Rattus norvegicus: one gene and its partners. The protein of the gene in region 1 binds, or shares a complex with, the protein of each later gene. Links are inferred from orthologs where the notes say so. Each region holds a gene or a part of one and is shown in the gene's direction. Other genes may lie near its edges.

Region 1 (4,063 bases):
GGATGTCGATATTGGCATACAAACTGAAGGCCTTTGAAGCTTGTCTCTTCCCTGCCTGCCACATCTGAAAGGAGATGGGTATTATGAAAAACTCCTGGCTCTAGACGGTTACCCGGCCTCCGCTTGATTTCTGTGTATGTAGGTCTAAGTGGAAAAAGTGTATCAACCTAGGACACACACAGGTCTTCCTTTCCATTGGCTTACCTGATCTGCTACCTGCCGGCTCAGTTGTCCCTTAAAGCCTTTCATGCCGAGAAACTCCCCGTCCTCTTCTTCTGCAGCAGCTGCATCAGCATCTACCTCTTCCTCACGCAGGCGCTGATGTAGTTCACCCATGTCCTCGAAGCTGGAGCCTGAGGTATCGTCCATGTTCTCCATATCAATCACAGCCGAGCCCCCACCCTGTGAAGACAATGGCTCCTAGTGTGAGGGGCCCTTCCGTTGCATCCTTTGGTTCTCCCCTCATCTGACAGTTTGAGGCTTTGCTCTTCCACTGACGAGGATATGGCTTGGAACTGCTACCCACTGTGTTATACATAACCTTTCACTGCTGGCAACTCTTGGTGGCGACACTTGTAGTTCGCCCTCCCCCCCCCGCCCCTCCCAAAGCTCCAAAGAGTTGCAAAGAAGCCCATCTGCCTTTCCCAACTCTCAAACAAGCCTATTTTAGGAAGTGCCGAAATTCTATCCTGTAGTCCCATACTATGCCTGATCCAGGCAGATCCCCCAACCCGTCTGCAAAGCCCCGGGCAGGTACAGAGACTCGAACCTTAATCTAGCCCTTTCACGCCAGCACAAGCTCTACACACTTTCGCGTGGAAGACTGAAAGAGGACAGGCAGTGTGGCAATAGAGCCGACTTCCACGCCGCGAGAAAAAATAGCAACCACACTCGGCCGCCAGCCCGGGGAGTTGCTGGCAGCAAGAGCTCTCAATACCTGGATGTTTTCTTCGAAGCCTCCCCATTCCGGGCCAGCACCATTTCGGACGCCGCTGGCCGGCGCCGCCTGAGTCGCCATGTCCCTCGAGGCTTCCCGTCGCTGAAGCTAGCGCTCGTGGGAATAGTGTGAGACCTGGGCCCGAGGGAAGGAAAGGTTCAGAGGAGCGACTAGGCGAGGTAGGACCAGCCGGAACGCAAAAGTGAGAAACCCGGATGTTTGGCCCCAATTGACGTCCGGAAGTGAAGGACGTGGACAGAGGCGGGACAAGATATCGCGACAGTGAAGATTGCCGGAGACGGAACGTTGCCGCGGAGACGGAGGCGGGCCGCTAGCACGCACGCGCTAACTTGGAGCCTCCTCTCACGGCTGATGGTGGAAGATGGCGGCTGCTCAGGCGGTGGAGGAAATGCGGACTCGCGTGGTTCTGGGAGAGTTTGGGGTTCGCAATGTAAGAGATCGGACCGCGGGAGTGATGGGGGAGGCACGGGAGAGAGGAGGCCTGGTGTATGGCCTGGCCTCACTGCCCTTTCTGTTGGCTCTAGGTCCACACCACTGACTTTCCCGGTAACTACTCCGGTTATGATGATGCCTGGGACCAGGACCGGTTCGAGAAGGTGGGTAGGGCTGGAAGTGTCCAGACGGTTTGAGGGGCCAGACCTCACAGGTTGGGTTGGGGATCTCTGTTTTCATGAAACATGAAAACATGTTTCCCGATCCATGGACGGGCCGTCAGACACCGCTCCTGTTTGTGGAATAAATTGTTTGCTCTCGGTGGGGTAATGGGCCACAAACAAGTTATTTCAGTATAATAAAATAGCGATGAAGATGGCTGGGATGGGGTAGGAATCATTGATGCACTTAATCCAGCCAATTGAAGGGACGTAGTTAGGGAGTGACATTTGAATTAAGCTTTGAACTATGAATAAAAGTTGAGCGGTGAAGGCCTAATTCGAGTTTCATTATAAACGCTTGTATAAGGTTTGCTCTTAGTCAGCTGCAGCAGCTCATTTTTGTCAGAATGTAAGTCCACCAGCATGAGCAGTAGATAAGATTGGAATGCATTTTAGACTCTGTAGGTGATAGATTTTTATTTTTATGTCTTTTTGAAACAGGGTTCCATGGCTGCCCTGGCACCCCCTCTGTAGACCAGGCCGGACTCAAACTCAGATTGGTCCACCTGCCTCTGCCTCCCGTGCACAGGATTAAAGGCATGAGCCACCATGCCCCGTTAGAATTTTTCAGTAGACTGATAAAATTTTGCAGTCTTGATAGCTGGGAAGGAATGAATCTGGCGAATCTGCCAGCTAGTGTATGGAGGCTGAAATTGGGGGCATGGATGAACTGCAGATGGTGGTAATGGAGTGAGAGTAGTAACTAGCTGATGCAGACCATTGCTGTGGTGAGGGCAGTGTGAGAAAGGACCTTGTGGCTTGAGGAACGGATAACCTTTTCTTGGTATGTATGTTTGCCTGCATGTGTATTTGTGCACCACTGCTCCCAGCAGTGTGAGGAGGTCCCACTGGGTGCTGGGAACCAAATCCATTCTTCTGCAAGAGCAGTAAGTGCTCTTAACTGCCGAGTGGTTTCTCCAGCCACACTGGGGAACTGTGTTGCTGGCTGTGTCATTTGCTAAGCGGGAGGACCAGGGCGATGGCACAGTTGTTTGCGAAGTCTACCGGTCGAGTGGTGATGCTTGAAGTCAGACCAAGGTCAGGAGCTGCTATGCCCTTGCTTGAGTCAGCAGCATGAAGGTCACCCAGGGGATTTAGAACCTGGGAGAAAGTAACGTTTACTGGGTGGAAGAGAAAATTTAGATAAGGAAAAGTAGATATTAAAAAATGCAAGTATCAAATGGTTTAAATAGGTGGGAAGTTCTGCTTTTTGTACAGTAGCTTTGCTGGGTGGTCTGTGGACTATCTGAGAAGCCAGGCATAGTGGCACACACCTTTAATCCCAGCACTCAAGAAGCAGAGGCAGGGGGTTGGGGATTTAGCTCAGTGGTAGAGCACTTGCCTAGCAAGCGCAAGGCCCTGGGTTCGGTCCCCAGCTCCGAAAAAAAAGAAAAAAGAAGAAAGAAAAAAAGAAGCAGAGGCAGGTGGATCTTTGAGTTTGAGGCCAGCCTAGTCTACAGAGTGAGTTCTAGGACAGCCAGGGCTACAGAAAAACCCTGTCTTGAAAAACATAAACAAGGAACAGTACACTGCCCTCCCAGTGGGACTAGAGACAAAATGTCTACTGATGATCTTGGGGGATAGTGCCAGGGTAGACTGGGTTCACACAAGAGGAACAGGTTTCCCACCCACTGGGCTTTCTCTACCCCTCTAGAACTTCCGTGTGGACGTGGTGCATATGGACGAGAGCACACTGGAGTTCGACATGGTGGGGATTGATGCTGCCATTGCCAATGCCTTCCGGAGGATTCTGTTAGCTGAGGTATTAGAAGTCGCGGGCTGGAGTGTGGAAACTGTCACCCCATCTGTAGACTACCGGGCGGGTGGGGCGGTTTACACCTATAATATGAACACTTCAGAGGGCAGTCCGAACTACACAGTAAACCTTGTATCAAATCTGAAGGGCAAAACTAAGAAGGGCTGCCCCTCGTTTTTCCAGGTAGGGGATGGGTGGAGGTCAGGTAGATCATTTTGCTTCCTTGGGCAGGTGCCAACAATGGCTGTGGAAAAGGTTTTGGTGTATAACAACACATCCATCGTCCAGGATGAGATCCTTGCTCACCGCCTGGGGCTTATCCCCATTCTTGCTGATCCACGTCTCTTTGAATATCGGAACCCAGGTAAGGCTGAGAGGTTGAGATTATGAGTTAGGCAGAACTGTCCTGGAATCTGTCATGGGCTCAGATCCCAGGCCTAATTAACTGTGATCTTAGTTGGCTCTTGTACATGGGCCTTCGCCTGTGAGAACGTTCTCTTGCCCCTGCCTTTAATCCCTCACTCTTAGCACAGTGCCAGCAGCGCTCAGAGGCTCTTTCCACCTTTACATGGTTTCTAGGGATTGAAGTTGGGTCTGTAGGTTTAAGCAAGCATGCACCCTCTGAGGCTTCTTGTCAGCCCGTTACTAGAGCTAGTAGGGCCAGGCAGGCATGGTGGTGTACATCTTTACTCCCAA
Region 2 (2,224 bases), on another chromosome or scaffold:
GTAGCTGAGAAGTCCCAGGAGAAGCCGCCAGCAGATTTGGTGTTGGGGAAGCCCAATTTCTTGGTTCCCAGTGCCCTCCTGCTGTGCTCCCCTGCTGAAAGGGACAACTGATGTCCTATCCGGGCTCTCACAGGGCTCTAGCTTACAATGTCTCAAAGACTCCGCTCCTAGTGCCCTAGGCCTAGAAGAGCACCTCTCCTAATCGTAATGATCTGATGTGTGCATCCACACCACGACATGTGCTAGGGTTCAGTGTCAATCACTGAATAGATCGAGAGCCATTGAAATCCCTACTGGAGCACGGGTCCTGTAGGTCAAGAAGTGCACCGTTCACGTGCTGAATGTAGACGTTCTACCACAGGGGGCCATAGACCTCAAGCGCACGTTTACGCAGGTTGTTGGGGGACACTTAGTTTGCTTGGTGCAGCTGCAAGCTCATGTGTTTGTGTAACATTGGCATCGGAGCTGGGGTAGTCATTTCGGTAGCACATGATTTTATCTCGGATGTAAAGTGCCTTTTCAGTGATTACAGTAGTAGCTAAGTTACCCTGCAGCAGACACTGTGTGAGGAGCTTTATGGAATCTGCTGCACTGTTGGACTAGTTCTCTTCTAACAAAAACACCAGGAAATAGCCATTTTCGCTGTCCAAGAAACTGAGGCTCAGAACGGTTAGCTGCTTGCTTGGGATCATGCAATAGAGACGGAGGATCTGAGATCTCAGCCCTGCATTTTAGTTCAGCATCCTTGCTGCTGATCACTCTGTGGCCGCACGTTGGCTAGGGGTGGAAATGGGACACTCACAAAAAGAGCGAGCATGGGCTGGCCCCACGCCACTGCAACCACCGTGTGTGGAATTGTCTTCTGTAGACACTGCTCATGTACAGATTCCGACCACAGCTGTGTGCTTCCCTGACCTTCCCTTTTCTCCTGTTCCTTTTCAGAAGCCATCGTGAGTGGGTTGAAGAAGAGTGGAAGTCCAGGAGAAACTGGTGGCCAGCCTTTCACTTCAGCTTCTTTTGGGCAAAGAGTGACTGGAAGGCAGACGCTGAGCTGGCTTGTGAAAAGGCTTTTGTAGCTGGAATCCTTTTAGGGAAAGGTGGTTTGTTTTCTGTTTATCTGGATGTAGCTTTTGGCCAACTGAGGCTAGAAAGTGGGCCCTCGTTCACCTGTCCTTGGGATGCCCAGGGGTTTAGGTGCCTCAGAAGTGACTGGAATGGGAGTGCAAGCCCTGAGCTGAGTTAGGGTCAGTTAGCTTTCAGAAGGCTCCTTTAACAAGTGAGTCTGTGTAGTGTGCACATCACTGTGAGGAGGCTTAGGAGAGGGGTGGAGTTGAAGCGCTTGCTTTACCTGAGGAGGGTGAGCCCTGCCTGTGAAGTGGTGGGGTTTCACTGGGGAGGCTTGTACAGGATGCCTACATTGGTATACGTGACACAAACCAATCTACATTCAGAATCATTAGTGTTCCAGGACTAAAGAAAAAATTTAAATGTAGAAGTCTTCTTAATAATTTGATAAATATTAAAACCTTTTCTTATTTTGTTTCATCTTTTAGGTTGTAGATACTTTCGGTATATTTTAAAACAAGATCATGAAACCTTGAAAAAGAAAATCAAGCGGATGAAGAAGTCTGTGAAAAAATATACTATTGTAAATCCAGGCGTTCACACCTAGGTCTTGAACTTATTTTACAGTTGTCACTACAGTGTAGTGGTTTGTATTTTAACTTTATGTGTCTGTGTGCACATGTTCATATGGAAGCTAGAAGTCAGCAGGACTTTGCTTTGAGTCTGGTCTCTCACTGAGAGCTGGGGCTCACCTCTTAGGCTGGCTGGCCAGGATGTCCTCCGGATTCTTCTTAGCTCTGGGATGATGATTGTGGGTACCATGCCCAGATTGTTTGTTTTTTATTCATTCATTTATTTATTTGTGTATGTGTTTATATATGTCTACACGTTTACATGACTTGGCACAAGTATGACCAGGAGCCGGTAGGGAAGGGGCTGGTCACCTGGAGAAGCAGCCACTGCCTTGGCCCTGGGTCCTCTGTGTTGTCTCACAGGTCTACTGGGTGCTATACTGTGTACAGTAGATCAGACTCTTCTAGGAGTCACAGGAGGCTGTGGTACTCGGCCTCCTTCCCATTTGTTCCTCTGCCAGCTTCACTTCCACACCCCACAGCTACTGATGGGCTCTGTTGAGGGGATAGAGAGGATAGGAAGAGAA
Region 3 (4,070 bases), on another chromosome or scaffold:
TTATACTGCTTGTGCAGTAAAGGCAGCGGTCAAACCACGGTGGATGTCTGAAGAATGTCCAACTTTAAAGGGAAAGTGGGGCTAATTTCTACTTTGAAAGAAGACACAGGTAAAATTTAGAGTTCAACCATCACAGTCTCGGCAACAGAGCTTTGCCAGTTTCACCCCTAAGTAAAACGACAGGGTCTGTCCTCCGGCATCTTGCTCAGGGGTTTTAACTACTTCTCCAGGGTTTAATCTCACAATAAGTGCACAGAAAGACAGATGAGGGTCTCTTCTATGAAAGAGTAGTTTATGTCCTTTAGAAAGTAGTTATGTGACTTAGCATGGTAATCAGGTTGGCTGCTGGAGGGCTGGGGACGCTGTCTTCAAGCTGGTCCTTCTTCAGTATACGTTTTCCTTACTTTGTACGCTTCTGGTGAATGAAACGACACGACTTTACATTTACTCTATTGTTCACTTACTGGATGGCAGGTATTTAAACACGGGTGAATGGGAGCTTAGGAGAGTGGAAGATGGTCTGCAAGTGAAAGCCAAGACCAATCTCCTAGTAAATCCAAAGAAGTGCTTTAATAACTAACCTCCCTCTCCCTCATCTGGCAAGTGCCTAGGGAGAGAAGAGCCCTAGTCACACCAGTTGCACCATCTTCAAATCCCTAAACTCCCTCTCACCCTCACCATTCCACACTCCTTACGAAGCTGACTCACTCAAGTGCTCAGAACTGCCCAAAGCTGACGCGAGGAAGCCGGTGTAGCCGAGAGACGAACGGCCAGGAGGGCCCAAAAGAATGCTTCTTAGCTTTGCTTTTGACTACTGAGCGGCTGCAAAAGGAAAACAAAACGGTCTCGGGAACCAGCAAAAGTTGCGGTTCTCTCAATCCAAGAGGTATCAGTTGCTCTGGAAAAATCAGTACAGTTTTAGGGGGACGCTCCCGCCCCCTTCCCCTGCTACGTGTAGGATTCCCTGCAAAAGCAAATAGTCCAGGATTAGTGCGGAGCAGGAAAATAGCGAGTGGCCTAGCACTAGCTACTCGCCTTAACTTGGTCGACGTCATAGTCCCAGACTGCGTGCCGCCGTATATTCCCTTCCGCCAGAGGTTCGGCTCCTTCCCTTAAGCGGCCTCGAGTACCTGCGCCATTAATTATGACGTCACGACCCAACGGCCACCAGGACCCGGAAGACGCTCTAGCCCGCCGGGCGCACTCGCTGCCTGGCGCCTTGGGATCGGACGCTCTAGCCCGCGGCTGGGATCTGTACTCTATCTCCCTTCCGCCTACCTCCTGCCGCACAAGGCTCCCCAGCAGCTGAGGCTCCAGGCTCCTAGCACTCCAAACTCTGCGGTCAGAGGATCCTGTGGGAGGAGGACTCAGGTAATTCCCGCTAGGGAAGCGGTGAGGAACCACCTTCAAGGCCAGACTCCTGCGCCTCAATAATAAACTCCTCTTTCCCAGCTCTCATCCGCCATGGAGCTGGCCCGCCCCTGCTCCAACTTTCAATCAGACTTGGATTTCTGCCCAGATTGTGGCTCCGTCCTGCCGCTGCCTGGAGTTCAGGATACTGTCATCTGCCCTCGTTGTGGCTTCTCCATCGATGTGCGAGGTGAGGGGCTGGTATGCTAGCTACGTCCACGATGGAGGTGACCTCAGCACTGGTTGGGCTTAGGGAGGTGAGACTCAGAACAGGAATCTGTTAGGGAGACATTGACCAAGGGAAGAAACTCAAAGGGAGGTCGTGACTCACCTGGGAGAGTGTTGCTGGGATTCGTTGCCTCTTTTGCTATTTCTACTGTTATTTTTTATTGGTTTGTTTATTTTTACTTCCTGTGCAGATTTTGGAGGGAAGGTTGTGAAGACCTCAGTAGTGTTCAACAAACTGGGGACTGTCATACCTATGTCTGTGGATGAGGGACCTGAATCCCAGGGACCAGTAGTAAGTTGATAAGGACTAGCTCCAAAAGAACAATGGAAAGGGGAATTGGGAGACCTGGTTTTGCACTCCATTCCGTGAGAATGTCCAAGGAGTGCAATAGTCTGATTTCTATGTGGAAGCAGAGACTATGATTAGAACTCCATAACCCTTCTGTTCCTTCCTAGGTTGACAGGCGCTGCTCCCGATGTGGTCACGAGGGAATGGCATACTACACCAGACAGATGCGCTCAGCTGATGAAGGACAGACTGTCTTCTATACCTGTATCAACTGCAAGTGAGACGATTACCCCTCCCATTGCCCCTTTTCAGTGCTTGCAAAACAACATTAATGACAGACTCATATTATTTCATTTGGTCCGGTTCATTAGAGGAGGGTTTGTAGCCCCTTTTTATTTTTATTATTTACTTGGCGTTTTTCAAGACTTAGAGCTCACCCAGGCTGGCTTTGAACTCTCAACCATACAGCCTAGGTTAACCTCAAGTTTCCTGCCTCTGTTTCCTGAGTGCTGAGATTCAAGCATGTGCCACTGCAGCTGGCTTGTTAAAAAGACTGTTTATCTTTTAAAGTTATGTGTAGGTGTTTATATCTGCATATTTGAACGTGCAGGTACCCACCAAGGCCAGAGACCTTGGGTCCCTGGAGCTGGAATTACAGGTAGCTCTGAGCCTTTGGATGTGGGTGCTGAGAACTGAACTTGGATCCTCTGCAGATCCTCCTAAGCGTTGAGCTATCTCACAGCCCCCCCAACACCCACCCCCTTACTGTTTTTACAGCTAGTTTTCTAAACCTATTAAGATGTATGAAAAGAGAGCTATGTGTGGTAATGTGTGCCTCAAAAGGAGGATCGTGGTTTCAAGGCCAGCCTGAGCTACACAGGCTGTCACCAAAGCAAAATGAAAACCAAAGCTTCTAGGAAAATTTAAAGCACAGGAAGTAGGCATTGTTCTGCACAGTTGGACAACATGCTGAAATTTTACACTGTGAAGGAGTGACTTGACATAATCTTGCATGATTCAAAGGACGTGGTCTGGATGGTTTGGAGCAGTCTTGTCTTGGTTGTTGTGTAGTTCTACATAATTGTGTGGCTTTCTGTGCTTTTGCTTTTTGTTGTTTTCCTTTCTCCTGGGGGTACCGCTTTAATTCTCGGCCTCAGGCATGTGAAAGAAGTGCTCTGCACTCAGTGGTGCCCCGAGCTCTCTTGTATTTGTTCTCTTTAGAATTGTAATTAATGTTTTTCTTCTTCTTAATCTTCTTATGCTGCTTCTACCTCTGAGATTCAAGGATTACAGGCGGGTCGGTGCCACCATAACTGTTCTGAGGATCCAACTCTGAGCTTTGGGAGAACTATATAAGCACTCTTACCAGCTCAACCACATACCAGTCCCTTAGGTTTCCCAAGCTGAGACTTGACTTACCTTTTGTCAGTCTGGAAATATATCAGCCATTATCCCATTCCAGTATTGCTTGTCCCCCATGTCCTCAAATTTCTTATTAGACTTTCACATCTCTCATCTTTGTATTTTCCATCCCATTTCTGTTTATAGAGTCTTCTGGGTAATTTCTCCAGATCTTTCTTACAGAGAGGTCAGAAAAAGATGTCAGATTTTTCTCTTCAGTTTGTATGTTTGTGGTGGGGAGAATGTTGTAGGTGTAGTGTATTTATGTGTTCATGTGGATGTATGCATGTATTTGTGCATGTGTATATTTGGTAGCCAGTGTTAGACACTGGGTATTTCTCTCTCTCTCTCTCTCTCTCTCTCTCTCTCTCTCTCTCTCTCTCTCTCTGTGTGTGTGTGTGTTTTGAGACAGGGTTTCATTATATTCTTGGCTAGCCTAGAAATCTTTGGAGACCAGACTGGCTTCAAACTTCCAGATACCAATCAGCCTCTGTCTCCAGAGCGTTGGAATTAATGTATGCCGCCACTTCCAGTTCTCCACATTATCTTACGAGGCAGAATCTCTGATCCTGGAGCTCAGACTAGGCCGGTTACCCAGTCAGTGCGTTTTGGACATTCATTTTCCCACTGTCCCATGTTTCCCAGATCTAGTAGAGCCCATTCTGTACATGTGGACTACCACACCCAGAATTTTCTTTACTTTTAAATGGATCCCAGGAATCCAAATTCAAGTTTTCATGTC
Region 4 (4,248 bases), on another chromosome or scaffold:
CACAAATATAAAAATTGATATTCGTAAAAGCCAAACAGTGGAAACAATACAAATTCTCACTGACACTATCCAACCCCCTTGATTTCTATCCAGAAGCAGGCTGGGGTTGCTTCTTTTCTTTTGGGTAGCATGGCCTGATTACTGCTGGCTGTCCTAGTGATCAACATTCAGAGTTGAGTAGAGTAGACCATAAGTGCACAGCCCACAGAATCAAATAACCAGGGCTCGTCGAGGTTCACAGAGACTGCATCGACAATCATGGAGCCTGTATGGGTCTGAGCTAGGTCCTCTGCATGTATTGATGTATAGCTTGGTATTCTTGGGGGACTTCTGACAGTGGGAGCAGGGGCCGTCTCTGACTCTCTTGCCTGCTCTTGGGATACTTTTCTTCTACTGATTTGCTTTGTCCAGACTTGATATGAGGGTTTGTGTCTAGGCTTATTGTAACTTGTTATGCCATTTTCAGTTGATATAACTGGAAGGCCTGCTCTTTTCTGAAGGGAAATGGAGGAGGAGTGGATTTAGAGGAGAACGGTGGTAGGGGGGAAGATTGGGAGGAGGGAATGGAGGGGAAACTGAGGCCAGAATGCAATGTATGCGAAAAAACTAAACTAAAAAAATAAAAAGAGTTGAGAAAGAGACAGAGCCATGGGTGGTGGCACATGCTTTTAACCCAGCACTCAGGCAGAGACAGATGGAGTGCCAGGCCAGCCTGGTCTACAAAGCAAGTTCTAGGACAGCCAGGAGTACATAGAGAGACCCTGACTCAAAAAACAAAGAAACAACAATAAATAAATAATTATTATTATAATAAACCAAGAGTTGAGTAGAGAGGACAGGTTGGTGCCCCAAATCTGCATTTCAGTAGAAGCCAAGACTTCAGAGTCTCCTAAAGTCTGCATCAGGATGTAAGAGGCAAGCTGTGAAAAGGGACAGAAGGGAACCGTTAAAGATACTTCTATCGGGTCCTAATTGACTAATTAAGCTAATATGGGTCACAGAGGTCACACACTAAAGTGGAAAGGGATTTAGTACGGTTTGTAGGATACAAAACATCGAAGTTTAGAGGAAGAGGCAGATCTGCCTGTCTATGTAGTGTTCTCTCTCTCCCTCCCTCCCTTCCCCCTCTCTCCCTCCCTCCCTCCCCCTCTCTCCCTCCCTCCCTCCCTCTCTCGGTGTTTCAAGACACCTCTGTGTTATTGCCCTAAGATGTCCTAGCACTCGCTTTTTAGACCAAACTGGTCTCGAATCCACAGAGATTCCCCTGCCTCCCGATTGCTGGAATTAAAGGTGTCTTGTGTGTAGTTTTAACAGGTCCAACCACGCCATGGTTTAAGTTTCCAGTCGACCGTGAGAAATGGAAGGACCAAAGGTGGGGCGGGCAGAACAAGAGGAACTACATTTCCCAGCAGGCCACGGGGTAGGGTGGCTGTAGGGTTGCTCCGGCCATTCCTGCGGTCCACGAGTGGAGTCGTAGCTCCGGTTTCCCGTCCGGGGCTCGCAGAAGCATGGATGTCGACAGCCGGTGGCGGAACCTGCCCAGCGGGCCCAGCCTAAAGCATTTAACCGACCCCTCGTACGCGGTTCCTCCGGAGCAGCAAAAGGCGGCGTTGCAGGACCTGACGCGGGCGCACGTGGACTCCTTCAACTACGCAGTGCTGGAGGGGCTGAGCCACGCGGTGCAGGTGAGTGGAGCGCACTCTCTGCTCCGGAGCCCGAACCCTCGGCCGGAGGGTCCCTGAGGTTGGAGGAGGTGGCCGGGAGGCCACAGTATGACCTCAAATAGTGATGCAAGCTCACCCTACAGTTCTTTGGGATAGTTCAGAGAGAAAACAACTTATAGCCTAGTGATGGAGGGAAACATGTATTTGTGATTTCTGGATTTATATGTGGGTACGAGCCCTGGTTTTGGGTACTGTGAAAGGAGAGTGAGGACGTGATCTATTTGAGACTGTTTTCCGCCCATTGACAGCGCTCACGCCTTTTCACACCTGGAGTCTTACGTTCTAAAACTACCTCAGAAGGTTCCAAGCTGATTCAGACAGGCTGCAGCAGAGCACATCCTTCAGTTTGCTTCCCTTAGAGTTTCCTTTGGGGGCCAGGAGAGCGGGAACGGTTCGAGACAGGGTTTCGGTAGCGTTTGCTGTCCAGGAACTCCGTAGACCAAGGCTGGCCTCGGACTCACAGACATCTGCCTGCCTCTGCCTTCAAGTACTGGGATTAAAGGTGTGTACCACCACCCAGCTTCTTTTAAGAATTTGCAAGAGGGCTGGAGAGATGGCTCAGTGGTTAAGAGCACTGATTGCTCTTCCAGAAGTCCTGAGTTCAAATCCCAGCAACCACATGGTGGCTCACAACCATCTGTATGAGATCTGATGCCCTCTTCTAGGGTGTCTGAAGACAGCTACAGTGTACTTATATATAATAAATAAATCTTTAAAAAAAAAAAGAATTTGCAAGAGAAAAACTTGCCACCTCTTCTGAGTTGGGCCTGTTGAGGAAGATTAAAAAAAAAAAAAAAAAGCCCAGGGGATCATTGTAACCATGGTAGCAGAGTTCAGGAAAGGACGATAAGGCAAGGTCTCTTTTTGTTAGCATCTGTAGTCCTGGCACTACGCTCTGAGAGTAAGACACCTCTCAGGTTTAAGTGTACCTCACCCTTGTTGGTTGTGTAGGGGTAGCAGGCACCTACAAGCAGTCAATGGCATTCTCTTGAGAACTGCTCTAAGATGTAGAGCTTTTTTAGTCAGGAGCACCATGGAAGTGCAACTATTCCAGGTGTTTAGAAAGGTCTACATTAGATAAGGTTAAGAGAAGAAGATGGTGCGTTCCCTCTGGAGGGAGTAGGTTCGGGGAGGGACATATGTAGTAGACGGTACCCTGAGGTTTTGTTGTCAAACAACTGTATTGTGAGAATTAGGGATGGAGAGATGTGGGAGAGCTTTGACTGTCTGACTGATACTTGGAAATACAGAAGCCATTTACAATTCTTTGAATTGCCAGGCTTCAGTCTGAGGGAATAAAATATACAGAGCTGAACATTTAGATCATCATGTACTTGCCGGTAAAAAAAGCAGTTCTCCTTGTCTTCCTATGCGCAGAGAAGGTGGACTCTTGGCTTAGCGTTTTCTGTGTCTGTAGCACCTACTGCAGAATCAGATACACAGCGCACCATTAAAAAAGCCCTTGGTAAACACATTATAATTAAAGAGTTGGCGAAGTAACCAGTTAGGTATAGCTTTAGTCCCTTTTAGATTTGCTGCGTGGTAGATGTCAGTGAGTGTAGACCATGGTGATTTCAGAGACTCTTAGTGAAGAGTGTGTTAAAAAATGTAAGTGACTTAGCAGGGTGAATTGTCTTTCAGGCCATACCTCCCTTCGAATTTGCTTTCAAAGATGAGCGCATATCTCTTACTATTGTGGACGCTGCCATCAGTCCACCCGCAGTGCCCAAAGGGACCATCTGCAAAGAGCTCAACATTTATCCAGCTGAGTGCCGTGGCCGGAGGAGCACGTACCGAGGGAAGCTGACGGTGAGCATCAGTGGTGGCAGGCAGCCGTCCCTGCACACTTGAGACTAGGGCTGGGGCCTAATAAGGTTATAGGAAAGGCCTGCTTCCTTAGCGTTGCCACTGAAATGATCGTGTCTTCCTCTAAAGGGATCGAGTGTCATCTGAAACATGAAGTCAGTACCTCCTTTTAATATATGAGATGTCTCAGTGGTTAGGAGCACTGCCTTTTCTTCTAGAGGACCAGGGTTTGGTTCCCGGCACCATGGAGGCTCACAGCTGCCAGGAACTCCAGTTCCAGCAGGTCTAAGCCCCTCTTCTGGCCTCCACTGGCACCAGACACACATCTGGTACACAGACGTACATGCAGGCAAAACATTCATATGCAAAATAAAAACAAATACATCTAAATTTTTATTTAAATATTTATTCTGTCATCTCAAGATAATTTCATTTTTTTTTTCTTTTACTTGCCTACAGGCTGATATCAGCTGGGCCGTGAATGGAGTCCCCAAAGGCATCATTAAACAATTTCTTGGCTATGTTCCCATCATGGTGAAGTCCAAGCTTTGCAACTTATACAACCTTCCTCCTCAAGTCCTCATTGAGCACCACGAGGAGGCAGAGGTGAGTGCAGGGATCTAGGCTGCAGGGCAGCAGCAGAGGCTGGGGTTGGAGGTGAGGAACAGGAAGCTGGACCACTGATACGGGTCTGTGCTGTGCCTGACTCTTACCACAG
Region 5 (4,238 bases), on another chromosome or scaffold:
AGTTACTATGACCTCAAAGCAACACTGTGTGCAGCTGGGAGCGGGGAAGCAAGAGTATGAACTAGAGGGTTATAAGCTTCAAGATTGAAGCTATGCTAAAAGAAAAGGGGGGGTGTGAAAGAGCCCGAGTAGGGACCAATCTGGAGCCAGTGGGAAAATTCCTACCACAAACCTCCAAGCACAAGGACCCCTCCCTTCCAGGAAGAAGAAAAAAGCTGGTTTAGGTCCTGGAACAGCTACAAGCCAAACCGTCACACAAAGTTACCTGACTCCCAACTGAATGGTACACAGAGTCGATCAGAAGAACGTTGTTTGGCTTCACTAAATGAGCATAGTACCCTGCCTGGTTACCATTGTCCAAATTCCGCCCCAGTTGTTTGCAAGGTATATAACTCCGTTAGAGTCTGCTCTTAGGGTTGTCTCCTCTTGAAGTGGGATGACCCTGACATGTCGGAATGATTAGACCCCTCTTGCTTTTGCGTCAGTCACCTGCCTCCGTGGGTCTCATTCAGGGGGTCCTGGAAGAGGTTCAATTCAGACCTCACAGACTACAGCACCAGACTAGAACTGCTCAGACAGACAGCCTCATGGACAGAACATTACCAAATTCTCCTTGCCTTTTCTGTCATAAGACAACTATTATTAGATTACCCCGATCACAGCCTGTAAGCCAGTCTAATAGAATCACCTCCATTCTATACTCAATCAGTTCTGTTCCTTTAGAGATCCTTTATGCATAGACTCAGGAACACAGATTCAGGTCCCCCCGAGTAACCTGCTCCACCTTGGAGACCGATTTATGAAGTCTTGATAATTACAGAACAAAGGGAAGTCATAACCCAAAGAAGCTTTCAAATACATTGGTGGGAATGTCATGTAGGTAGGTTACATTGAAGCAGATCTGTTCCTTGTCTCAAGATTCTATCTGAAGACATTCTTAGCCTCCAGGTGTGTAGAAGCGAGTGGTCAGCAGAGCCACACATCCTAAGTTTCATGTCATAGTGCCAGGGCCAAGGCAACCTACAGGCAGCGCCCAGGACTTGCTGCCTGTGAATTTGAAAAAATCCCCCAAGAGGACAACCTAATATTCATTCCCGTTCCCCGGTTTAAGCCATGCATGCACCCAGAGGCGTCTGTGAAGAGGATTCTAGAACTTGTGGGCAACAAATACAGTGAGTGGCTCATCAGTGCTGCTCAGTTGTTTGTTGAGAGGATCAATTAAACTTCCCAACACTCTTGTAAGATAGGAAGTTAATGAAGTGGAGGCAGGATCGTCCAACACCAGGACGATGGGAATTTCACAGCTCGGTTCAATTCGCCGCCTGCTCTGAAGGTGGCGCTGGAGGACATAGTGAGGTGAGCTGGGGCGGGACTTCCTGTCTCACTGGAGCATTTCCGGCCCGGCCCGGAAACTAGTTCAGTCTGGGTGGCAATGCTCCAGTAGTTGTGGGTGGCGGCGTTGAGGAGTGGCAGTCCGGCTCATTTGTGTCCCCGGGATCAGGTGAGACTGTTGCCGGGAACCGGCAGGGCCCGCGTGCGGGGATGCTGAGAGCACGTGGCAGGCCACATGGCTCTCGAGCAGGCCGATTCCAGCGCTGAGTCTTATCCTAGATGTTTGCCATGAGGGAGGGCGGTCCCGGAAAACTTGTGAGCAGATTACGGGTCTTCAGTTCCTAGACTCTTAAATTCAGAGCCATCACATCTCGTCCAGCAGCTCGGCCGGTCGGATGTAAGATTTAATTTTTACTAAAAATGAGGACTGTTTGACAGTTACCGCTTGAAGAGAGTTCCTGCTTTAACTCAGACCACGGGCATTTCGGGAGAAGCCTGTATTTGGCCGGGAAAGCCGGAATAGTACGCAGCTCTGGTACGCCCACAGAGGGGTGGAAGAAAGTCTGCCTGATTGAAGACCGCTCAGCTCTCATTAACATCCCACTTGGTCCTCTCACTCTCCCGTTCATATATTCAGCGGTTGCCTATCTCTGGCATTTTACCTGCCTCGGGACCTCTTGCGCTCACCGGTCATTCTCCCCAGCCCCTCTTCCAAGGTGTGCACAGAGCTATCTCCCTGGCTGCCCCAAGGGAGCACTCCCTTGTGATTGGGAGTGAGCAGCTCTGGCGTTAGGCTGCAGATTCTGGTCTTTACCTGCTGTCTTGTAGTGGTCTCCCCTGCGGGCACTGTGTGCTCTCTGGGAGCCCTGGGGCACTGTTGAGACTCTTAATGAAGTCCTGTGTAACGTTAGATACATTGTCTCCAGGATGGACTTCCCCAGCACCCTGCGTCCTTCGTTGTTTATGGCCGGTCCTCTTGGCATGACTGATGGCCCCGACTTGTCCTTCATGTGCAGCTGGAGAGATGCACTGACCCTGCCAGGGGCCCAGCCACAGAACTGCAGGGTGAGGATGGAAGTGGGGTCCTTTCCTTGGTCTCTTCTTCATTCACTTATCGGAGAAAGAGGTCCCAGCAGATGCTAGTGCTGTGCACCGGCCGCCCTACTATCCAGACAGAATCTCTCAATAGAGGCTGTAGCTCCTCTTTCCTTGCTCCCTCTCCCTGGGTTCAGCAAATGTTTATTAGCCAGTGTCTCTGTGTTAGGGTCCTTACAGGCCCAAGAGCCCACCATGAGGAGGTCAGGCAAACCCACCCAAGGGACTGCCAGTTATGGTGGGAGACAGTACGCCGATGGGCAGACCCTGTGTAGTGTGGCCTTGGCTCTACTAGATCATGAAATGGCAGGGGAAGGGGACAGGATTTCTGCTCTTGGGAAGGCCATCTTCAGCTGCCTTGTATTGAGTACGTAGAGGGGAGCAGGTCAAAGAGAGGGTATTGGGGGAGGGGAGTTCTTGGTCCTTGGGACAAGGGAGACTTGTTGGTACCTACTTGGAACCCATTGAATGACAGGACTCAGAGGAAGTGGCTGAGAAAATTGGAGCTCATTGCGTTCTGGGTGGGACAGTCAAGATATAGGTGCTTCCTTTGAAAGCTGCTATGAATGGAGTTTAGAATACAGGCTCTGGAGTTGGTTGCCTGGGTTCAAGTCTATGCCTGTTTTTAGTTGACTGTCACCTAGGGCAAGTGACAGCAGCCTCACCCTTCGGGTTCTACATTAGCACAGTGACTAGCTTTTTAGATTTGTCACGACGACTGAGTTGGTTAAGGGCAGGGAGCGCATACTTGCCATGTTATTGCTGCCCTGTATCCCTAGGACCAGACATCGTCCTTTGCCAAGAACCTGCTGTGGGAGCCATCGACACCAGGACCCCTGCCCCTGGTGCCTCCTGGCCCTGGTAAGAGTCTCTCTCCTTCTGGGCTCCCTCCAAGGACCTTAGCCATCGCATGGACAAGGGGATCCCAGATTGCAGATACCTCCCTATTCCCTCTCAGGTTCTTCTCTGACTTCCTTCTCCCCTTAGATCCCTGGGACCCTGGTCTGGCAGCTCAGGACTTCCTCTTCCGGGGAGGTCACTACTACCAGTACCAGTCTCGAGTTGTGCTGGATGTCACTGAGCAGGTAAACGGTCTCTGGGTGGGACTGTTTCTCACAGCCTGAGCTATGCTGACTCACACAGCCATTCCCCACAGCTCAGCCGCTTCCTGTGGGACCATGGGGATATAGCCTTTGCACCCCTGGGGAAACTCATGCTGGAGAACTTCAGATTGGAGGGGAACCGGGTAAGGAGCCACCACTGGCTGGGTGGATGGTCAGCCACCTCCCTGGGTGCAAACCTGACAGGCCTTCCCTGCAGGGCTACTCGAAAAAGGTGACCATAGTCAGCGTGAAGAGGCTGCTTCAGGACCTCGGTGGACACCAGCCCTGGGGGCAAGTAGCCAGTGAGAAAGCAGCCACGGACAGACCTGTGGTGGGATGTGGAAGGAGCTGGGACACTGACCAGGTTTTCAGCATAGTGGCTTTTCCAGCCCCACACAGTCGTGAGCCATGAGTTCACAAAATTCCCAGTTCCAAGCAGCTTAAGGGAAAAGGGGGGTCGGTGAACCTGAGGCACGGCTACATCCAGGTGTTTAGAATCTCGTCTCACCCACTTACCTCTGTCTGACTTAACTCAAGCAACAATACGATGGCTTCTTATTCCAAAGGAAGAGTCAGTGTCTGAACTACTGCAAATCCTACAAAAGACCTCAGTTGCCCTGACTGGGGACATCTGTGAGCCACTTGCTAGGAGGCACAGAAATATTCAGGGACAGGGTACGGTGTATTCTAGGCAGCTAAGAGAGAGGT
Region 6 (4,070 bases), on another chromosome or scaffold:
CAGCATCTGCTGTCACCTGAGTTTTTGATCTTAGCCATTCTCACTGGTGTGAGGTGAAATCTCAGGGTTGTTTTGATTTGCATTTCCCTTATGACTAAAGATGTTGAACATTTCTTTAGGTGTTTCTCAACCATTCGGCATTCCTCAGCTGTGAATTCTTTGTTTAGCTCTGAACCCCATTTTTAAATAGGGTTATTTGTTTCCCTGCAGTCTAACTTCTTGAGTTCTTTGTATATTTTGGATATAAGGCCTCTATCTGTTGTAGGATTGGTAAAGATCTTTTCCCAATCTGTTGGTTGCCGTTTTGTCCTAACCACAGTGTCCTTTGCCTTACAGAAGCTTTGCAGTTTTATGAGATCCCATTTGTCGATTCTTGATCTTAGAGCATAAGCCATTGGTGTTTTGTTCAGGAAATTTTTTCCAGTGCCCATGTGTTCCAGATGCTTCCCTAGTTTTTCTTCTATTAGTTTGTCCACTCTATTTTTAAAATAAATGGTGTGAAATAATTGAGTGTAAACGTCCTGAACCCAACAGATTTTTACTGAGTTAAAAGTTTGATCTGTGAGAACACATACCACCTGTACTCTATTGAATTGATCAAACACAAGAGGGAGAATACTACGAGAAAAGCTAAAGCCACCAACTAGTGGAAGTAATTGATGGAGTTGTCCTTGTGAAAACCTTAGTTGTGAAAACCTTGGCTTCAAAAAGGAAGATGGGCAGGCGTTGTGATTTGCGCAATTAATTTCAGCATTGAGGCGGCGAAGGTAGAGAACTGCGCCGGTTTAAGAGCAAGCTCAGCCTGGGCTACATAGACTATCAAGCCTCGGGCTTCCCCTATCATTCCATTCCCCAACATAAAATAGAAGAGAGGTGACAAGAAACTAAGAAAACTGGAATTTGAAAACAACAAACAAACAAAAACCTGCATGGGTATTGAACAATTTGAAAACCGTGATATTGGGAAGTGAAGTGTTGGTAGGGTGGCCTGCTGGTGTTCGCCCAAGCAATGGCTGGGTTAAGATTCCAGCAGCACCTGTTTTGGCTTCCTGCTCTATCTGCCGTTACACAAGCACAGACTCTCGAACGCCGAGCTGTGGGAATGTTTTGCTACCCTGGAGAGAGGGGCAAATCAAAACAAAATCCTACAGGAATTAAGGAGAGAAACACTATAAACCAGTCCCCAACAAGCGCCCTAGTTCTTCGGTACTGCCAGGCAGAAAGGGACAGGGCTTTTGCGTCATAAGTCAGCGCCGGAAGTTGGCGAAGCAGCGCCGGTAGTGTCTCTTGCTTCTAAGAGCCGGAGAAAGCGTTTGCGTGCACAGAGGAGGGACGCTTTCCGGAGCTGCGGAGGTAAGGGATCGGCGGGTGATTTGGGAGGTAAATTGGAGGCAAAACTAGGAGAGACACCTGGCTTTAAAATATCCCTGGACGACCGAGAGCGGTAGCACACGCCTGCCATCTGAGCGCTTGGGAAGCAGAGGTAGGAGAATTCTGCCATCAACAAGCACCTTGACTTTCAATCTAAGGCTACAAAGTGAGTTCTCGGCTAACCTGAATTACAAAGTGAAGACTCTCAAAGCCTTCTTAAAGAACCAAATGCGAAAATAAAGATCCCCGGTGGAGTTAATGTTGAGACAAGCTTTGACGGAGCTACTGCTCCCAGCTCAAATCGGAATTCCTTTGCGGAGTGATACTGGACAAACCAACATGTCCTTAGCCTCCGTTTCTTCGTGTGTAATACCCTCTAGGATCCTGAAGAGTAATAAACATTCATAATGTATTTACTATTGTTGAAAATGTGCTGTATCCTTCAGACCCAGCCCACATCACTGTTTAGGGGAAGTAGATAATTACTTTTTTTTTTTTTTTAATTTCCCCATCCGTAATATTGGGTATTGATTCTTGGGCTTCTGCACACTAGGCAAACATTCTACTGAGGTTTTCCTCTTTGGTCGGAAAATCAGAACCTCGTATAGCTTCTGAGAAAAAGATAAATCAAATGGGGCATGTTTTGTGCGAAGGCCCTGTTACTCAGTCTTTGGCTCTCATTTCAGGCACGAACAATGGACACCCAGAAAGATGTTCAACCACCAAAGCAGCAGCCAATGATATATATTTGTGGAGGTAAGATTAACATTTAAATAATGCTTTACTTAGGAACGCCCCCCCCTCCCATTAAAAAGAATCCTTCCATACATGAGTACAAATCTTTAAAATTATAACGTGGAGCACTTTAGCGATTGTTAATTTTAAAATCCCTCTACCTTATTAAGATTTCTTCCTTTTATCTGGAAAAGGTGTACTGCCTACAGCTCTTCTTTCTCCTTGGTCTGTTCAGTAATAAGAATGTACTTGGATGTTTTGGTGCCCTGGTTTCCTCCTGTTTTTAATATGTTGTTACTGTTTGCTTCCCTGGAGTGTTTCTCTTTCAGGCTTTGAATAAATGTGCTTTCTTTCCCAGAGTGTCACACCGAAAATGAAATAAAATCCAGGGATCCAATCAGATGCAGAGAATGTGGATACAGAATAATGTACAAGAAAAGGACTAAGAGATGTATCCTTTTAAGTATACTTTTTAAATGTGAAGAGGAAGTAACTAATACTTGGGTTGATAAAGACTAAGATCTGGGGCTGGAGAGATGGCTCAGTGGTTAAGAGCACTGACCACTCTTACAGAGGTCCTGAGTTCAAGTCCCAGCAACCACATGGTGGCTCAACCACCTAGTAATGGGATTTGATTCCTTCTGGTGTGTCTGAAGACAGTGACAGTGTACTCACATACATGAAATAAATAAATCTTTAAAAAAAAAAAGACTAAGATCTGATCAAAGTAGTAATAACTTTTGGATTATTTTTTAAGCAGAGTGCATGTGGACTTATTGAGAACTGAAAGAGTGGAGCCTCCACAGGAGGTATACCCAGATTAATTATTTTAATAGGATTTATTTTTCCCAAAACTTGTGGGGTAGAGACAGGCAGCTCCTTGTGAATTCCAGGCCAGTCTGGTCTACACTTAGGATTCCAGGCCAGCTAAAGCTACTTAGTGAGACCCAGTCTCAAAGGACCAACTAGGGGCCTGAGAGCTGGATCTGCAGGCAGGAGCATTGCTGCTTTTTCAGAGGGCCTTAGAACCAACATGATTGCTCACAATCACAGGTGGTCGGATAGGCCGACCTCTGACCTACCAGTGCGCGGGACCCAAATGGTACATACATGCATACAGGCAAAAGCACTTGTGCATAAAATAAACCTGAATAAAACAAATTTTAAAACCCAGTAAATACATTTTTAATTCATTTATTAAGGTTATCACTGGCCTTCCTAAACCTCTGTGGCCTTATACTGGCTAGTTTTGAAGGCCAACTTGACACAGGCTGGAGTTATCACAGAAAAGGAGCCTCAGTTGTGGAAATGCCTTCGGGAGACCCAGCTGTAAGGCATCTTCTCAACTAGTGATCAAGGAGGGAGGACCAAGCCCATTGTGGGTAGTGCCATCCCTGGGCTGGTGGTCCTGGGGTTCTATAAGAAAACCAGCTGAGCAAGCCACGGGAGGCAAGCCAGTAAGTAACATCCCTCCATGGCCTCTGCATCAGCTCCTGCTTCCTGACCTGCTCGAGTTCCAGTCCTGACTTCCTTTGGTGATGAAACAGCAATGTGACTGTGTAAGCTGGATAAACTCTTTCCTCCCCAACCTGCTTTGTGTCATGATGTTTGTGCAGGAACAGAAACCCTGACTAAGACAGGCCTCAAACTCAGAGATCCACCTATCCCCGCCCACCACCTCTACCCCCCAAATCCGGGATTAAAGACATGTACTCCCAAGGCCTGGCAGAGGTTTTTATATAAAGTAAATGTGATTAGCATTTTCATGTACCATTCATTATGGGCTTTCAGTAATATAAAAACTAGTTGATAAGTCTTTTTTACTTTTCAGGAAATCTTTGTTTTTAGTAATAGTCATTGTTGGTTATTAGTTTATGAACAATATAAAGTACGGAAGAAGAGATTAATAACAGTGGAAAATAGTGAGGCCTACAAATTGTTTCATGGTAACGGACACAAACTCT

Evidence for each region.
Region 2: Polr1c (region 1) and Taf1a share a complex: the UniProt entries of both Homo sapiens proteins name them as parts of the pol I pre-initiation complex. The link is inferred for Rattus norvegicus from reciprocal best matches to the Homo sapiens genes POLR1C and TAF1A.
Region 3: Polr1c (region 1) and Polr1h share a complex: the UniProt entries of both Homo sapiens proteins name them as parts of the pol I pre-initiation complex. The link is inferred for Rattus norvegicus from reciprocal best matches to the Homo sapiens genes POLR1C and POLR1H.
Region 4: the proteins of Polr1c (region 1) and Polr1b are in contact, whole or in part, in a cryo-EM structure (PDB 7OBA), measured with the Homo sapiens proteins. The link is inferred for Rattus norvegicus from reciprocal best matches to the Homo sapiens genes POLR1C and POLR1B. Residues at the interface, in NP_976035.1 of Homo sapiens: Ala70, Asn74, Arg77, Arg78, Leu81, Ala82, Gln102, Asp103, Glu104, Ile105, His108, Leu112, Lys220, Asp221, His222, Ala223, Thr230, Ser232, Tyr233, Arg234, Leu235, Asp281, Thr282, Phe283, Ser284, Glu286, Arg289, Arg301; in NP_061887.2 of Homo sapiens: Arg713, Gln715, Lys761, Ala762, Glu765, Arg766, Gly767, His770, Tyr774, Gly816, Val848, Arg872, Pro874, Glu900, Asp901, Phe904, Glu906, Gly908, Lys967, Gly970, Tyr971, Asn972, Phe973, Tyr974, Arg978, Tyr980, Ser981, Gly982, Ile983, Ser984.
Region 5: Polr1c (region 1) and Taf1c share a complex: the UniProt entries of both Homo sapiens proteins name them as parts of the pol I pre-initiation complex. The link is inferred for Rattus norvegicus from reciprocal best matches to the Homo sapiens genes POLR1C and TAF1C.
Region 6: Polr1c (region 1) and Polr2k share a complex: the UniProt entries of both Homo sapiens proteins name them as parts of the pol I pre-initiation complex. The link is inferred for Rattus norvegicus from reciprocal best matches to the Homo sapiens genes POLR1C and POLR2K.

Annotation. Positions count from the first base shown.
Region 1 is NC_086027.1:22,232,055-22,236,117, forward strand, and holds the start of Polr1c (DNA-directed RNA polymerases I and III subunit RPAC1), read left to right. Parts: upstream 1-1,263; 5' UTR 1,264-1,319; coding exon 1,320-1,388; intron 1,389-1,482; coding exon 1,483-1,554; intron 1,555-3,265; coding exon 3,266-3,373; intron 3,374-3,598; coding exon 3,599-3,731; intron 3,732-4,063. Other genes in the region: protein YIPF3, read right to left, coding at 1-64, 205-402, 938-1,018. UniProt on the Homo sapiens protein: DNA-dependent RNA polymerase catalyzes the transcription of DNA into RNA using the four ribonucleoside triphosphates as substrates.
Region 2 is NC_086031.1:97,576,996-97,579,219, forward strand, and holds the end of Taf1a (TATA box-binding protein-associated factor RNA polymerase I subunit A), read left to right. Parts: intron 1-942; coding exon 943-1,097; intron 1,098-1,553; coding exon 1,554-1,672; 3' UTR 1,673-1,724; downstream 1,725-2,224. UniProt on the Homo sapiens protein: Component of the transcription factor SL1/TIF-IB complex, which is involved in the assembly of the PIC (pre-initiation complex) during RNA polymerase I-dependent transcription.
Region 3 is NC_086038.1:1,598,900-1,602,969, forward strand, and holds the start of Polr1h (DNA-directed RNA polymerase I subunit RPA12), read left to right. Parts: upstream 1-1,270; 5' UTR 1,271-1,371; exon of another isoform or gene 1,372-1,452; 5' UTR 1,453-1,464; coding exon 1,465-1,600; intron 1,601-1,829; coding exon 1,830-1,930; intron 1,931-2,094; coding exon 2,095-2,204; intron 2,205-4,070. UniProt on the Homo sapiens protein: Core component of RNA polymerase I (Pol I), a DNA-dependent RNA polymerase which synthesizes ribosomal RNA precursors using the four ribonucleoside triphosphates as substrates. Can mediate Pol I proofreading of the nascent RNA transcript.
Region 4 is NC_086021.1:136,785,682-136,789,929, forward strand, and holds the start of Polr1b (DNA-directed RNA polymerase I subunit RPA2), read left to right. Parts: upstream 1-1,448; 5' UTR 1,449-1,508; coding exon 1,509-1,685; intron 1,686-3,365; coding exon 3,366-3,533; intron 3,534-3,989; coding exon 3,990-4,136; intron 4,137-4,248. UniProt on the Homo sapiens protein: Catalytic core component of RNA polymerase I (Pol I), a DNA-dependent RNA polymerase which synthesizes ribosomal RNA precursors using the four ribonucleoside triphosphates as substrates.
Region 5 is NC_086037.1:64,564,800-64,569,037, reverse strand, and holds the start of Taf1c (TATA box-binding protein-associated factor, RNA polymerase I, subunit C), read left to right. Parts: upstream 1-1,438; 5' UTR 1,439-1,501; intron 1,502-2,258; 5' UTR 2,259-2,259; coding exon 2,260-2,397; exon of another isoform or gene 2,398-3,206; coding exon 3,207-3,288; intron 3,289-3,414; coding exon 3,415-3,512; exon of another isoform or gene 3,513-3,583; coding exon 3,584-3,673; intron 3,674-3,679; exon of another isoform or gene 3,680-3,747; coding exon 3,748-3,821; exon of another isoform or gene 3,822-3,894; intron 3,895-3,945; exon of another isoform or gene 3,946-4,205; intron 4,206-4,238. UniProt on the Homo sapiens protein: Component of the transcription factor SL1/TIF-IB complex, which is involved in the assembly of the PIC (pre-initiation complex) during RNA polymerase I-dependent transcription.
Region 6 is NC_086025.1:69,239,963-69,244,032, forward strand, and holds the start of Polr2k (DNA-directed RNA polymerases I, II, and III subunit RPABC4), read left to right. Parts: upstream 1-1,270; 5' UTR 1,271-1,353; intron 1,354-2,057; 5' UTR 2,058-2,066; coding exon 2,067-2,127; intron 2,128-2,464; coding exon 2,465-2,557; intron 2,558-4,070. UniProt on the Homo sapiens protein: DNA-dependent RNA polymerase catalyzes the transcription of DNA into RNA using the four ribonucleoside triphosphates as substrates.